Arabidopsis thaliana: one gene and its partner. The protein of the gene in region 2 interacts with the protein of the main gene of each other region in a pairwise test. Each region holds a gene or a part of one and is shown on either strand. Other genes may lie near its edges.

The links.
Region 1: the proteins of AT5G39250 (region 2) and TK1a interact in a two-hybrid assay, tested with the Arabidopsis thaliana proteins (one large-scale study listed by BioGRID).

Annotation. Positions count from the first base shown.
Region 1 is NC_003074.8:2,486,806-2,494,269, forward strand, and holds TK1a (Thymidine kinase), read right to left. Parts: upstream 4,376-7,464; 5' UTR 4,131-4,375; coding exon 3,952-4,130; intron 3,868-3,951; coding exon 3,723-3,867; intron 3,632-3,722; coding exon 3,510-3,631; intron 3,410-3,509; coding exon 3,139-3,409; 3' UTR 2,582-3,138; downstream 1-2,581. Other genes in the region: OBE1 (potyvirus VPg interacting protein (DUF1423)), read left to right, coding at 1-71; AT3G07790 (DGCR14-like protein), read left to right, coding at 686-2,212; AT3G07810 (RNA-binding (RRM/RBD/RNP motifs) family protein), read left to right, coding at 6,070-6,291, 6,504-7,464. UniProt on the Arabidopsis thaliana protein: Part of the salvage pathway for purine and pyrimidine deoxyribonucleotide synthesis. Phosphorylates preferentially purines over pyrimidines.
Region 2 is NC_003076.8:15,721,256-15,729,595, forward strand, and holds AT5G39250 (F-box family protein), read left to right. Parts: upstream 1-3,221; 5' UTR 3,222-3,352; intron 3,353-3,591; 5' UTR 3,592-3,604; coding exon 3,605-4,363; 3' UTR 4,364-4,399; exon of another isoform or gene 4,400-5,223; coding exon of another isoform or gene 5,224-5,825; 3' UTR 5,826-5,951; downstream 5,952-8,340. Other genes in the region: EXPA21 (expansin A21), read right to left, coding at 5,224-5,825, 5,975-6,161; EXPA22 (expansin A22), read right to left, coding at 7,863-8,340.

The DNA of each region.
Region 1 (7,464 bases), on a different chromosome or scaffold from region 2:
GATACAATGCATCGTCGCCAAGGGTAGATCCAAGATCAAACCAGCGAAATCCTTTCAGATCCAATCCTTAGATGTTTGTATTGTCTCTCTTTGTTTGTATTAAAAAAAAAATCCGAATCAATTAAGGTTGGATTTGTGTGTGAAGTATTGTGGTCTTTGTATTCAAATTTTGCACATGATCGTCTATGTTGGGCCATAATGTTATGCAAGCTTTGACACAGAGTGTTGCCAAAATCTCGATACTTATTCACTCGGATTTAGAGAATTGTGGATTTCGCTAATGGAGGGAGATCCATGTTACCTTAAATAGTTTATATTTGAGCCAACATGAGAGCCAAAGAACATCGCCACCGACTTTAAAAAGAAAATATTTTGCCCAAATGGATATTACAGAGTAGTTATTTGCAATAACGTCCTCATGTTTGGGTTATAATAACGATTTGATTTCTTACGGGGTATAAAGCAAAAGGAATCAAAACGTTTGGGGAAATAATGTAATATTCTGGAAACAAAACGCGTATAATCGGATTGATAAGGAATATTATATCATCGCCGATGCAATCATCGACCATCGTTTTGTTTTCCTGTCTACCCAAAAACAAACCCTAGTGTCCGAATTCTCGACAAAATTCATCGGCTCCAAATTCCATTCGTGCTTTTTGAATTCGCGTTCTTCTGATTCAAGATGTTTCTTTCACCTGGTCATTCTCCTCGTCAGATTTCTTCTCCATCGCCGTCTTCTTATTCCGATGATACCCTCCGATCAACGCCTCGCAGTTCTTCCTCGGAGATCATTCCTCGAAACCCTAGAAAACGGATGAGAGTTCTCGATGAGGACGCTTATGTTGAAGCAATCGAGAAGATCATCGAGCGTGATTACTTTCCAGATATAACTAAGCTTAGGGATCGGCTCGATTGGATCCAAGCGGTGAAAACCCGTGACCCGATTCAAATCCGAGATGCCCAGTTGAAGATTATCGAGAGGCGTGGAAAGAAGGCGAATCATCATGTTGGAGATACCGAGGGTAAAACTCAAACTCCTGGATCTACTTTTCTGAGAAATTTCACTCCTTTAGATGAATTTGATGGTAAAACCCCTAGAACTCCTGGAGTATCTGGTAGAGAATTTCATGGTGTTGAAGTAGATGCTGGTGATGGAGATGAAGATATAGATCTTAATTTGTCCCTAGATGAGTTCTTTAGGAGATATACTAGTGAGGATAACGAGAGCTTTTCGAAGATTCTTGAGAAGGTAAATAGGAAGAAGAAGGAGAAGTATGGCTTTCTCCTTGAAGGTGAAAAGGAGGATGGTAAATCTATTGAGGATGTGAAGAGAGATAGGATTACAGATGGGTATGGTACATCTGATCAGCCACCGAGTACTTTAGAAGGATGGAAATATACGGCGAAGAATCTTCTGATGTACCATCCAGCTGATCGGGGTGAGGCGCCTTTAACTGAGGCGGAAAGGGCAGTGAGATTACTTGGATTGACTAAGGAGATAGTTAAAGGGAACACTCGTTTTCATGGTAAGACTATGGATTCTAGGCCAAGAGAAGATGGTTCTGTTGAGATTCTCTACACTCCAATCGCAGGTTCTTCCCCGATGCATATCTCAGGTAGGGACAGAGACAAGTCTAAAAGGTATGATCTTGATGATCTAAGGAAAACACCGAATCCTTTCTATGTGGAATCAGATAAGAGGGCAGACAATGGGTATAGTTTTGTTAGAACGCCTTCTCCTGCTCCAGGTCTTGATGAATCACCCTTTATAACATGGGGTGAGATTGATGGGACACCAATGCGATTAGATCTTGAGGATACACCTATTGATATTGGTGGTAGTGCTGATGGACCGCACTATAACATTCCATCTGCACCTCCTAGAGATGTAAGGGCACATTCATTATCAAGGGATGCATCGCGAAAACTTAGAGAGAGATCGAATAGTATGTTTAAGAAACCTCCGTTGCCATCTCCTCATCGAAGTGGAAGTGCAAGTCCGAATGTTAGGACTCTTTCACCCGCTGCTCAGAAGTTTTTCAGAAAGGCAATAGCTAAATCATCTTCTACTGTTGATGAGAGCCTTCGTGCAAGTTATCGTGGAGCAAGTCCTCGTGGAGCAAGTCCTGGTGCTGTGACTCCTAAGAGTGTGAGAAGTATTTCAAGATTTGGCAAAGATGGGACCAGCTCAGAGACAAGGTCGCCTTGATGGTGCCAATGTTATGGTTATCTGTTGTTGAATGCTTTGGTGCTCACATAGGCAACAAAGTTACTTCTTCTTGTACCAATTACTGATATGACAGATTTTAAATGGAATGCTATCTATCTTCGCATTTGTAATTTTGACTTCCACATCTTCTCTTTTCTCTTAGCTCCCAGGCTACGCACTTCAATATTACAACATCAGCACAATATCCTCAAGTGTAAAATTTGGTGTTTAAGCTTTATCTGTAGATTCTCTATATTTTAGTTCCTTTTGTGTGATTCATGCTTTTTAAGAGGTGTCATCCTCGAGATTGTTCTCTCTTCAATCTCAGGTTTCCCTCAGAGTTTGGAATTGCTTGGATGTTAATTAATCATTAATGTTTATGTATCCTTACATTAAGATCTGGAGACAGAACCGACTGCAACAAGAGTTTCAATATTCACAGCAGCATGAAGTAGACGTAGATGTCAAGATCTATGGTCTCGGTCCAAAGAGTGATTCGAGATTCACAACAGTGGAGACACCTCTAGCATCAATAGTTTGCTCCCTAGAGATACCTTTCAGTGATGAAGGTGGATCAAGAAAACAGTGCTTCTTAAACCAGAGCAATGCAACAATGGAAGAATGCGAATCCACAAGTATCAAATCCAGGATCTGATGAAAGAAATGCTTCTGTCACAAAACAACCTCTCATACGCAACATTGTAAGTCCAACTCGAAAAACTAAGTGGTCTTGGAAAATGAAGAGTATGAAACATGGACCAGAGGCTGTAGAGAAAGCATCAAACTTATATTTATATACAATGAACATCACAAGTGTATTTCAAAGACAACATTAAGGATAAACCAGACCAGTAAAGAAACCAAACAACCAAAAAAGAAAGAAAACTTCACCATAACATATGTTGCTTGTTCCATATCATTTATAGTTAGATTGTAGCAGCAACACAGGATTCAGCTCTAGCCTTGTCAGAATCTTCCAAGACTTTCTTAGAGGCTTTAATAACAATATGATTAGTGATGTAATGCTTGCGACAAACAGGCATATAGACATCAGCTCCACCAATAAGCTCAGTTCTGGTGTCACAATTCTTTCTTAAAGTGAAGAAAGCTTTATGTCCACAGACCTCACACCTTGCAGTTAGCTTAGTCACAGAATCAGCTATTGGTATAATGTCAAGTACAGCCCCAAAACTCCTCCTGCACATAGAGAGATCAATTCCACATTTTACAGTCAACAAAATTGTTAAACATTGAAGTAAAATATCAAAATCACAGCTTTGGTACTAGGATGAAGCACCTTAAATAGTCACCATCTAGGCCAGCAACGATCACAATTTTACCATCATCATCAGCGACTTTGCAGCAAAACTCATAAAGATCTCCAAAGAACTGAGCCTCATCAATACCAATCACATCAAGCTGCCAATCATTTTAAGAGAAAAACACAAATTCAATACAGATCCTTCACAATTAAGACCCGAAACACCAAATAGAGCATCGAATTTATTACCTTGTTATAAGCATCTAGTCCGAATTTCTCAGGAAATGACATGAGATCTGGAAGAGCCCAGCAAGGGAATCCAATTCCATCATGTGTCACCACCGAATCTTTTGCGTATCTCGTATCCTTACTCGATTTCAGCATCGCAACACTTCTGCTTAACCAAAACACGAAATTAAGAAATTTACGGAGATAGATCTAACAATTAAAATCTACGGAGATAGAAAATAAACTGTACCTTCCGTCGCTGATCTCTGACTTGATTCGGCGAAGGAGAGAGGTCGATTTCCCAGAAAACATAGGACCCATGATAACATGAACAGCACCTGACCCACGACGTTCCAGATCGGAGAGAAAATCTCCGGTGACGTCACTGTCGAGGGTTTTGATCAAAAAGGAAGCTTTGAGAGTCGCCATGGCAGAGACTTGAGAAGAAAAGATGGTTTGTAGATGAAAAAAGGGAGAAGGGTTCAATTTGCTTGTGGTTTTAGGTAGCGATGGTGAATAGCTTGTTGAAGATATATATACGCGGACATCCAGAAGTTGAACAAGGAAGAAAATTGCTGGAGAAGATTTGTCAAAGATAAGGGTTTGAAATTTTGAATGGGAGGTTTTTTCAAAAAAATTACATCTTTGGAGGGAAACAGTTTTTTAGAGCGAATCTTTTTATTTTACCTCTCTCTTTTCATAAAGCGGAACACTATAAACGGAATTTAAAAAAAAAAAAACTGATTTTCTATTGGCTTATTTTTTTTAATTAATTTCCTTAATGTATAGATCATATGAAATTTTTAAACATGTGTGTTTAGGCTTTGCAAACACATTATTTAAGAGAATGATAAATATTTTTAAAAAATATATCCACATAAAATGGTACTGGTTTTTGGTCATATATTCCACTAATGTTTTTTAGAATTATTGTTTAAATTAGAAAGTCGTAAATTCGTAATATTCGAGAAAACAACTTTCTCACTTGGGTTTTTATCCTACAAACCCATCATTTTGTGTGTGTGCTTTTGAATGTGGGCTTAAACCCAAAACCCTGAGGCTTTTTTTGGCCCTGAGATGAACATGTTCACAACCTTCTTCAAGTGTTCCAATACATACACGTTCATTGCTTTTTCGTAGTTGCAATTTTTATTTAATTTTTCGTATGTAGTTGCACACCTTCATGTCTAAAGCTACAAATTGTTGAAATGTTTTTTCCGATCACCTCAATTAATGTACAATCGTAGCTCGTTGTATTCCTAAAACCGAACTAGAATACATTTTCATCGCCAGGTTATTACAAGTTAAATCAATTTGATCAAAATTCAAACATAGATAAAATGTACACCAGTAGGTTAAAACTAAACCAAACGTACACAACAAGCCTAAATTATCCAAACAACAACAACTCTCAGTTTTGCTTTAAAAATTCTGTGAATAAGACATCCTTAATTGCAAATTTATTTTTAATTACTTCTTTTTAAAAAACTTTTAGTGGCACCATCCTAATTAGTAATTACTTTCTATATAATTCTTCTTTAAGATACAAACTAAAAATTCCGCAAAAAGAAACATCTAAACATTCCAATATATTAATATTTTTTTGTTATGACAAAAGTAAAATTTCCGTGTAATAAATGGAAGGGAAAACGTATAAAAAGTTTAGTATTGAAAAAGAGAAAAAAAAGAAACAAACCAATTATGTAATAATGAGTATAAATATATAAATACAGACATATCTTCTTCTTCTTGCACACCCAAAAAGCCTTTGTCTTTCTATCTCTCTACCAAAACTTCTTTCTTTCTCTCTTTTTCTATATCTCTAGAGCGCGTTACTGCGCGTCGTGAGTATGTTTTTATTGACGCCATTGAAATTGGGTTAAATCGGTTTGAATCGGATTGAACAAAAACTGTATTAATAATAATTCTTCCTCTACTTTTCTCTCTGATTGATTCCAATCTTCTTTCATTTTCTTCTTCTTCTTCTTCTGGGGAAGGGGCAGGTTAAAATTATGCCATCTATTCAAATCGTGCCTATCCTCAGATCTTAACTCTTTTCTCTACGAGATTCGGCATCTGGGTTTTATTCTTCTTGGTGGGTTTTTTTTTATTCTTCTTCTTCTGATCTCAGATTTCCCCTGATTGGTTTTTTTTTTTGCTAAATCCGTTTTATGTTTTCCCGATCAAACTCTCCTGGCAGATTCTCGGATCTGTTGTTTTCTAGATTCAATCTGAATTTGATTTTACGTTTTTGTCTTTGTAAAGATGTTTCCTTTTGATCAGATTTTGATAATCCATTGACATCTCTGATTCAAGCAAAAGCTAATTAACTTTGATCCGATTCCTTTGTGTGTGTGTGCAGAGCAAAATGCAATCGGATAATGGAAAGCTTTTCATCGGTGGGATATCTTGGGACACCAATGAGGAACGTCTCAAGGAGTATTTCAGCAGTTTTGGAGAAGTGATCGAAGCTGTCATCTTGAAAGATCGTACCACTGGTCGTGCTCGTGGTTTCGGTTTTGTTGTTTTTGCTGATCCTGCTGTTGCTGAGATTGTTATCACCGAAAAACATAATATTGATGGCAGATTGGTATGTTCACTGTTCTCTGCCTTTCGTTTTTGTACAATGTAACTTGTTTTCGAAGCTTCCTTATGCAATCAAGCCTTCAAGAGTTACAGTTTGTTCTCATTTGGTTCCGATTAATCATTTTTGTGCTTTGATTGGATTTTTGAGAAGAAATGAGTGATCTTTAGTTATATGAGCTTAGTTTTTCATTTTTCAAGTTGTTTGATCTTCCGCAGGTTGAAGCCAAGAAAGCTGTTCCCAGAGATGACCAAAACATGGTAAATAGAAGCAACAGCAGTAGCATCCAAGGTTCTCCCGGTGGTCCAGGTCGCACAAGGAAGATATTTGTTGGAGGATTACCTTCTTCGGTTACAGAGAGTGATTTCAAGACGTATTTTGAGCAGTTTGGTACAACTACGGATGTGGTTGTCATGTATGATCACAACACACAAAGGCCTAGAGGTTTCGGGTTTATAACCTACGATTCCGAGGAGGCGGTTGAAAAGGTATTGCTCAAGACATTCCATGAACTAAATGGTAAAATGGTTGAGGTTAAGCGAGCTGTTCCAAAGGAGTTATCTCCAGGTCCAAGTCGCAGTCCTCTTGGTGCAGGTTACAGCTATGGAGTTAATAGGGTCAATAACCTCCTTAATGGGTATGCTCAAGGGTTTAATCCCGCTGCAGTTGGAGGCTACGGACTTAGGATGGATGGTCGGTTCAGTCCGGTTGGTGCTGGAAGAAGCGGGTTTGCAAATTACAGTTCTGGATACGGGATGAATGTGAACTTTGATCAGGGATTGCCCACAGGGTTCACGGGAGGTACAAATTACAATGGAAATGTTGACTATGGCCGAGGAATGAGCCCGTACTACATTGGTAACACAAACAGGTTTGGTCCTGCGGTTGGCTATGAAGGGGGCAACGGAGGAGGAAACTCATCCTTCTTCAGTTCGGTTACACGGAACTTATGGGGAAACAATGGTGGTCTTAACTATAACAACAATAATACAAACTCAAACTCCAATACATATATGGGAGGATCATCAAGTGGGAACAACACACTTAGTGGTCCATTTGGAAATTCAGGAGTCAATTGGGGTGCTCCTGGAGGAGGAAACAATGCTGTGAGTAACGAGAATGTGAAGTTTGGTTATGGAGGAAACGGTGAATCTGGTTTTGGGTTGGGAACAGGTGGTT
Region 2 (8,340 bases):
CAGTGAGAGCATTGACAAACTTGAAAGGCTTTAGGCCCTGGACTTTGTTGCCTGCTTCACTATTTAAACTGATTCTACATCTCAAATGATCTGAGCAACCTCCTGCTTCAAAAACACTATAAGATTGAGAAAAAGTTTGGTTCCAACAATCATTAATCAATACCCTGTCGAGTTTCTTCATGATGAGACCATGCTCCCTCTTGTTACACCATGTGAATAGTGGCCCCTGAGCTGCCATATCTGTTAAAGAGCAATAATTGATCACCTGTTGGAAATCTCGCATTCCTGGAGTTACCATAGGGTGAACAAAAGATTGTGAGTGTTCTGCTATATCAAGCGTCTCATTAAAATCACCTAACAGAGTCCACGGTTTGTGTCTGATGATGGGAGAATCATAATGATCCTTCAGTTCTGACCATAAAACTTTTCGCTCCTCCACGTAGTTTGAAGCATAGACAAAGGAACAGAAAAATTCATCCTGTCGATCTTCTAGCTTCACCGAACAAGTCAGCAATTGACAACTCTTATAAATAGGACTAAGTCGCACATTCTTACGCCATAGAACCCAAATACGACCCCGTCTATTGTGCTCATAGTTAGTGAGAATCGACCAATCCTTGAAAAGCTTACCAACAAGCTGCGAAACCTTACTCTCCTTTACTCTCGTTTCAACCAAGCAACCAAACTGAAAGTTATTTTCCTCTATCCACTTCTTAATAACAGAATGTTTTGATGATTTGTTAAGACCTCGCACATTCCAGAAGAACCCAGACATTAACGATTTTTGGATTTGTTTCTTTTACTCTGATCTTTAGGAGGAATCCTAGTTGATTGAGTAGAAGGAACTGATATCACTTTGTGAGCTGTTTTAGATACACGGGGCAAAGACTCGCGCAACAACATCTCTGATGTGGCCGGCTGTGTCCCTATTGAAACTTCTTTTGATGAGATTACACCAACATCTCTCGTATCTGTCGTTGAAATAACATCGTCATAGTCTCCTTTCTCACTTAAAACAGAGTAAGCATTCGATAGGATTGAAACTTCTCCAAATCTCAGCTCTTTGTTTTTATTTCCTGGACTGCGGTGTGAACCTGGAAATTTTTCTATGTTCAAACAAACATGTTTCCTAAAACATCAAATAAAAAGAACAGAGGATATTAAATTAACAAAACTTATCTACTTTAAGGTCAAACTGATTGGTTTTGTTATATATGTTTCCATGTATTTGAAAAAAATCCAAAAAATCCAAATTAATTAATTAGAATGTTTAAGGCACATTTTCATTTTTTTGTAGTCGACCACATAGATGTTATGAATGAGGTACATACATGAGTTTGTTTAGTAATGATAGATTGTCTTATAATTAGAACTATCATTATCCTATCCATAAATATCTATATTATTAGTAAAACCTGATAACATCAACTAATAAACCAAATTACATTTCAGTAATTAACAAAGTCAATAAGAAAAGACCACAACCTATTCGATTTCAGTATACATTCGATTTTTTTTTTTTCAAGTATCTTCTAGCTTTAGATATCAGAATAATCGACCATGAATCCAAGCAAACAAAGTTTTAACTTGAAGCTTTAACATAGATTAAATTGAGGGGCATGCGACTATTTCAAAGAGAAATTCAGTGTAGTCTATTATATTTAATATTGTTTTCTACATTCTTACGTTCTTTAATTTTGTATTACTTTTTTGCACATTTTTTTGGGCTGATGAGCCACAATAGTTTTTAAGTAAATAAAAAACAACACTTTAAACAAATTATTGCATCTTGTATTACTTAAAAATAATAAATATTTCTTTTATCTTTTTTATTTTTCCAACCAACATACTCTTACTCAAAAAAAAAAAAAAAAAAAAATCACACATAATTACGTAAATTATTGTGTGAACAAATTCTAGTTTTAATAAATGACATTTAAACTAACAATCACCATAATTCTTAGTGAATAAAAAATCTCATTTTTGGACTGCAGATATTTTTGTTTAATTAGTATCGAGTATTCAAATACCAAATTGTTTTTATAACCGGAACAAGGAACCATCATACAGTAGGAATCAAACTCAAATACACAAAATCAGAAGAGTGCAATCTTTTTCCCCTAAAAGTTGAGCTAACTACTGGTACTACACTACACCCTACACCCTACCACTATAGACCAGTCATTAATGATCAGATTTTCAAATTACAATTTAATAAAACATAAACCCCATATAGTTTAATTACATGTAAGTGTTGCCTATCTATAAAAATCATTTTCTTTTCTATATATTAAGAAGTATCGTATGTAAGTGTTGCCTATCTATAAAAATCATTTTCTTTTCTATATATTAAGAAGTATCGTATGAAGAAAAGACTCAAAATTCACGTCAAATCATCCACTTTTTTTTCCCTGAAAATATCTACTTTCCATGTGATGTAGTTTTCTTGTTCCTTTCGCTTTATTCCCTATGTTTTCTTATAAAAAGAAAAAACACAAAGAGAAGGAAAAAAGAAGTATAGAGTTTTTTTGTGTGTGGGGAAATAAGGTATCCTGATACTAAAACACAAGTCAGTGAAGAGTGTGACTACTGATCCCACAATCTGACCTCTTTGCTCTTGTCTCCCATGCTCGTCACTTATTTGTCCTCTTTCACGTTTATCATTTCGTTTTATTCAACTCAATATATATGTCCTCACAAATTGTCATACTCCAAACAAAAAAATACGGCATAATCAATAACATATTTGAGTTAAGTGATAACGTCATTCTTAAATTAAAAGTGTGTAATATTAAAATAAGTTTTGTGGAAGATTAGGGTTAATTTTGCGAACAATTCTTGGGTTCATCCCTAAAGATGTTTTGAAATATTTCATTAACATCAAAAAAATTTCTTTTCTTATTTACCTCAAGAAACTAAGATTCGAATATAATTTTTGTTTCTTTTTGATAATGGCTTCTTATAAGAAAATTCATCCACTTTTTATGAAGCAAATCTATATATTTTAGCAAAGTCAACTAGCATTAAGCTTCTTAAATTGATGAGAGAAGGCTCATAGTCTAATGGGCTTTGGGCCGGGCCGTTGAGGTCTCCATTTTGTTTTTTAGTGTCTAAATTATTTTCGTGTTACTCGACTAAATATTTAATTGGGCTTCTATATGGGCTAAGGCCTTTTTACATTACCAATTTAATTTCTTATTTCATTTATCAGATTAAATCTTTTTAGTTTTCATAATGTTTCTTTTTTTACAGCCTACCAAAATCCTAATCGATCAAATGAAACTTTCTTCAATTTCCTCGTAAAATCATACTTAATCCGATCCAGATTTCAACTCCAGATCATGTTTCAAAGGTTAGTTCATTTCCCATATCGTCGATCTACATAATCTTCATCGTTCTGATTAGTTTTGACGACGATGATCGTTTCCTCTTTCGATCTTTCGAATTTTCCCTGTAGAATTATCTTAATCGTCTCGAATTCAATAGAATTTGATCGATTTCAGTTTTGATTTGTTATTTTTCGATGTTCCGGTTATCGTAATTGATCGGTTATTGAAATTGAAGCATTTGTGATCTCAATTTTGATTTCAGTAGTTGTTGAAGAATGTTTAGTGAAGAAGTATTGAAGAATGTGTTTCCATTGCTAGAAGGCGAAGATCTCGCGTCATGTATGGGTGTTTGCAAACAATGGAGAGATATCGCAAGAGACGATTTCTACTGGAAATGTCAATGTGCAAAGAAATGGCCATCGGTTTGCAAACGGCACAAACCTCCTACTGAAACATACTACAAAATGTATCAAACGTTTAGTAAGCGGCGGTTAAACCGCGCGCTTCCTCCTCCGCGATTGTCGTTCGAAAACTTGGAGTTTTTCATCGATATTTGGTCGGAAGAGAGGCTCGTGTTCTCGGGGTTAATACCCGGTGTTGCGTTGGAAAATGGTATCGAAACGTTACCGTTAGGGATCAGTAATGTTCTTAGAACTCATCTTGGTAGACCTGATTACAAGATGGTTGTTCCTGCTGAGCCTAGGTTCACTATTCCGTTAAACCAGTCTGTTAGTGTCTCTGTTCTTGTGGCGAGGAATGATTCTGATAAGGTCGCTCGGATAATCAACCGGTCTGTGTTCGATTATATAGACCGGTCATCGTATAGAGCGCTTGCGTTTGAGTATCTTGACTTGTCTCCTTGTTATCCTTTTATCTCCGGTATACGAGCTTGGATCTCTTTGCTGTTTATGGATGTTGAGGATATGAATGATGATGGGTTACTCGATGTTTTCGGGATTCAGTTGGATTTCAATGATGTTGCTGACACTAAAGAAGAGGTTTTGTGGCTTCTAGATATGCTTGATTGGAAGTGAAAACAAGCTTATGATCCTATTAAAGCTCTTTCTCAGGTTTGGAACTCTATACATAATCATCATTTTGCTCAAGAACTAATCTTTCACAACTTTTGGTCATTTTCTTTAATACGAGTTTGATTTGTTTTTTCTCTCTTTAACTATATAGCTTTTGTTTGATCATTTGCTGTAATTCGATTTTTTTTTTGTTTATAACGAAAATTGGATATAAGAAACTGAATAATTTCAACCAAACTAGATATTGAAACGCCATGTCAAAAGAACTCAAAACAGAACACACATTTTTGCACTTCTTTTCAATGTTTTGGTTAGGGGTGGACATTCCGGTTTAGGGGTTTGGATTCAGATCGAATTTTGTTTTTCTTTTCTCAATTTTTTTCGGTTTTGTAAAAAGTGATAACACATGTAAAACCATTTGTACTTCGGTATGGTTTCAGATCGGTTTGATGCAATTTCGGTTGGCACGGTTCAACTTTTGATAATAAAAATTTATAGAAAATAATCAAACAGTTATTTATTTATTATTTATTATTTAGTATGGTCATATCTATTTTCAGAAGATATATAATTTATAAGTAATATTTAAGGAAATTTAGAATATTTGGTTAACATAATAACCAAACAGTTTATAAACAAATATCGGTTCAATTTTGTTCAACTGTTTTGGGTTGGTTCGGTTCATGTAGTTTCATGGTCCATCTCTAGTTCTGGTTAAATCTTTAGATTGAAACCAAATGCAGGAAGCCAAGAACTAAAAGTATCATAAACAATATTTCATTTATTTTTAATTATTGCAACCAATACATCTCTCTTAGTTGTAACTTGTAAGCCAAAACTAAAAAAAATTCATATCATTTTTCTTAAAAGTTAGTCTTTCCATCAAAAGTCTGCCCAAATCCCCAACTTGCTGGCATCACATCAGTAAAATCCTTTGTAATCCCATCACTCGTTGTAACCCTTAATGATACACTTTGACCGGTTAGATTAACATTAGTAGTCCAATTTTGTCCCCAATATCTGCTCATTACTACCCACGCGGTTTTGCTTCCCTTAGCAGACACGGCTATAATATCTCCTGCTCCTCCTACATTGTACGGCAAGATCGTTAAGATATTAGGGTTTCCTTTAACTTCAAACTTGACACCACCGGTTTTCGCACAGGGAACACGTCTGTATCTAACCGGGACCATCTTGGCTTTGACCTGAGCGATCTTGATGAACATTGGTAAGGAGAGATCAAAGTGTTTATTTGGTAGGTAGCACCAAGCGGATCCTGGTGGACATAAATCTGTTGCTGTGATCTTGATAGATCCGGACAAACATCCTTGTGGATTAGGAGAGCACATGATCTCGTAACAAGCCCCACATGAGGCCCCGCTGTTGAAGAGCGCCGTGCTCAATGCTGCTGTGGCTAGACCATATCCATGTTTGTTTAGATCACCGTATCCACAAGCTCCTTCTACTGAATGTATAATAATAAAAAGTTAGTATGTAACTATTATGGATTTAATTGTTTATTTATATTTAAAACAATCGCAGCTTATATACATTTTGAAACAAAACATCAATGTAATAATTAGATTCGACAACATATTAGTAATTTTAACTTACGTTCAGTGCCTCCACCATGGATATCACCATAATATGCGGCTCGCGCATCATACCAAGCAGTATCAAGTCCGTTGGTTCCAGGTGCTGCAGCTACATTGGCTCCATGACTGTAACTTATGAACATGAACCATGTCGCCATTATTATCATAAAACATTCTACATATGTCATTTTTTCTAGCAATTTCATGATTATTATCCCTCTTTGATGATTTTGTTTTACTTTTAGCTTTGATTGATGGGAATAAATGAACAACATGAGTGGGTATATATAAGTAGACATATATTTGACTATAGTCATATCTTTTAAAATCTTTCCAAATGTATTGAAATTTTTTGTAGTCAATCTGAATTGATAACATAGCCATCTTTGTATTTTGGATAAAATGGTAAGATGTTTATAGGTAGTTAAAAGTCATGAAATGTGAAGTGATAGTCCCATTTCTTTTTACTGGTTATTTGTAATATTTTTTTAAATCATTCCAAATGTGCATATATTTACTTAGTGAACATGATAAATTAGTAATTGTATTGAATTTTATGTAGTCAAAATCTGCAATCCTAAGAAGTGATGATATTGCCATCACCTGTATATATTTTGAATTCATGGTATGATGATAATAAGTTGTAAAACAAGGTATGAAATGTAGAATGAGTAAAGAAGTCTCATGTTCCTTTAATCCTTTTGACTTCTAATTTAATGACATATCCAATTATAAATGTTAGCAATGTTCTTTTCTTTTCTTGTAGGCCATTTCATTTCTTTAAAAGTCCAATGGACTAAGTACAAAAGAAAGGAACTCTATTAGAAATCCATTACACATTACAAGTATAAACTCGAATTAAGATTAGGGAAATTTGCAACTATAATCTAAATAAATTTAATAATTTGGAAACTAACACCTCAAAAACTACGTACAAGGCAATACACATAACACACGCTCTTCCTCTTCCAATTCTTAATTTTGTTTTTCTGCAACTCCAACTCTTATTATAACTATCCCATATATTTTTACACCATCACATCTACCATCAACTCACCATCATCATTTATCACTGCCACAACTGTATCGCCGCAACCACTACCGTCAACTTCACCGTTAGTGCCATCACTACCATTGTCATCATCACCACCATCATTACCGTCACCACCACCACCACCTTTACCGTCAACATCACTACTATGATTTACCTTGCTTGCTTGGGTTGCCAATGTTATATCGCATAGGGTATAGTTTTTTTTGGGATCGGATCGGTTTAACTCGATCCTTTGTTAGTCTAATGTTCGTTCTATACTATTTAGTTTTATTTTATATTTGTGTTTTAGCCAAATATTATTCACTATTTTAAATAATTTGTATGAGATTTCAAAATTTTAAATCATGTTATACATAGAAAAAAATCTAAAAATGTTTTATTTTAAACAATTAGGTTCACAAAACAAATCTGTAAATTGATTCCATGGCAAAAAAATAAAAAGATGGAAACATAGAAGTAAAAAACTTCACTCCATCAACTACACATAATAAAGCATATCTCATTTATTTTTAGTTATTGAACCCAATACATCTGTTAATTCATTTTAATTGTATTCCTTCTTATCCTAAAAAGTAAAAAAACTCAAATAGTTCTCCTAAAAGTTGATCTTTCCATCAAAAGTCAGCCGGTTCCCCTTGGAGGCGACCAATTTTCCTATGCCTCCAAACCACAAACAACATACGATTTTTAAAAGAGGTTACATGTAGAAGTGAAAGATAATAGTATAAATATAGATTGTGGATACATCCTAATTTTTTATGGATAAATAGTATCTTCTTTATTTTTAATTATTGCAAGTACGTATTACATAACTTATGTGTAAGACACATATAATAAAACTCAAATCATTCTCCTAAAAGTTAATCCTACCATCAAAAGTCTGTCCAAACCCCCAATTTTTTGGCATCACATTCCAAAAATCTTTTGTAATCCCATCACTCGTTGTAACCCTGAACGATAAACCTTGGCCGGTCAATACTGTAATAGTGGTCCAATTCTGCCCCCAGTTCTTTTTCATTGTTATCCACCCGGTCTTGTTTCCTTTAACTTGCACGTACTTAATATCTCCAGCTCCTCCTACGTTGTATATCAAGACCATTAAGAAATAAGGGTTTCCTTTGGTTTCAAACTTGACACCACCAGTTTTGCTACAAGGAATACGTCTGTATCTAACTGGGACAACCCCGGCTTTGTACTTGGCAATCTTGAGAAACATTGCTAAGGAGAGATCAAAGTGTTTCTGTGGTGGGTTGCACCAAAGGTCTGTGGTTTTGCTGTAATTTGCGGGACAGAAGTTTGTTGCTGTGATCTTGACGGATCCGGGTAAACAC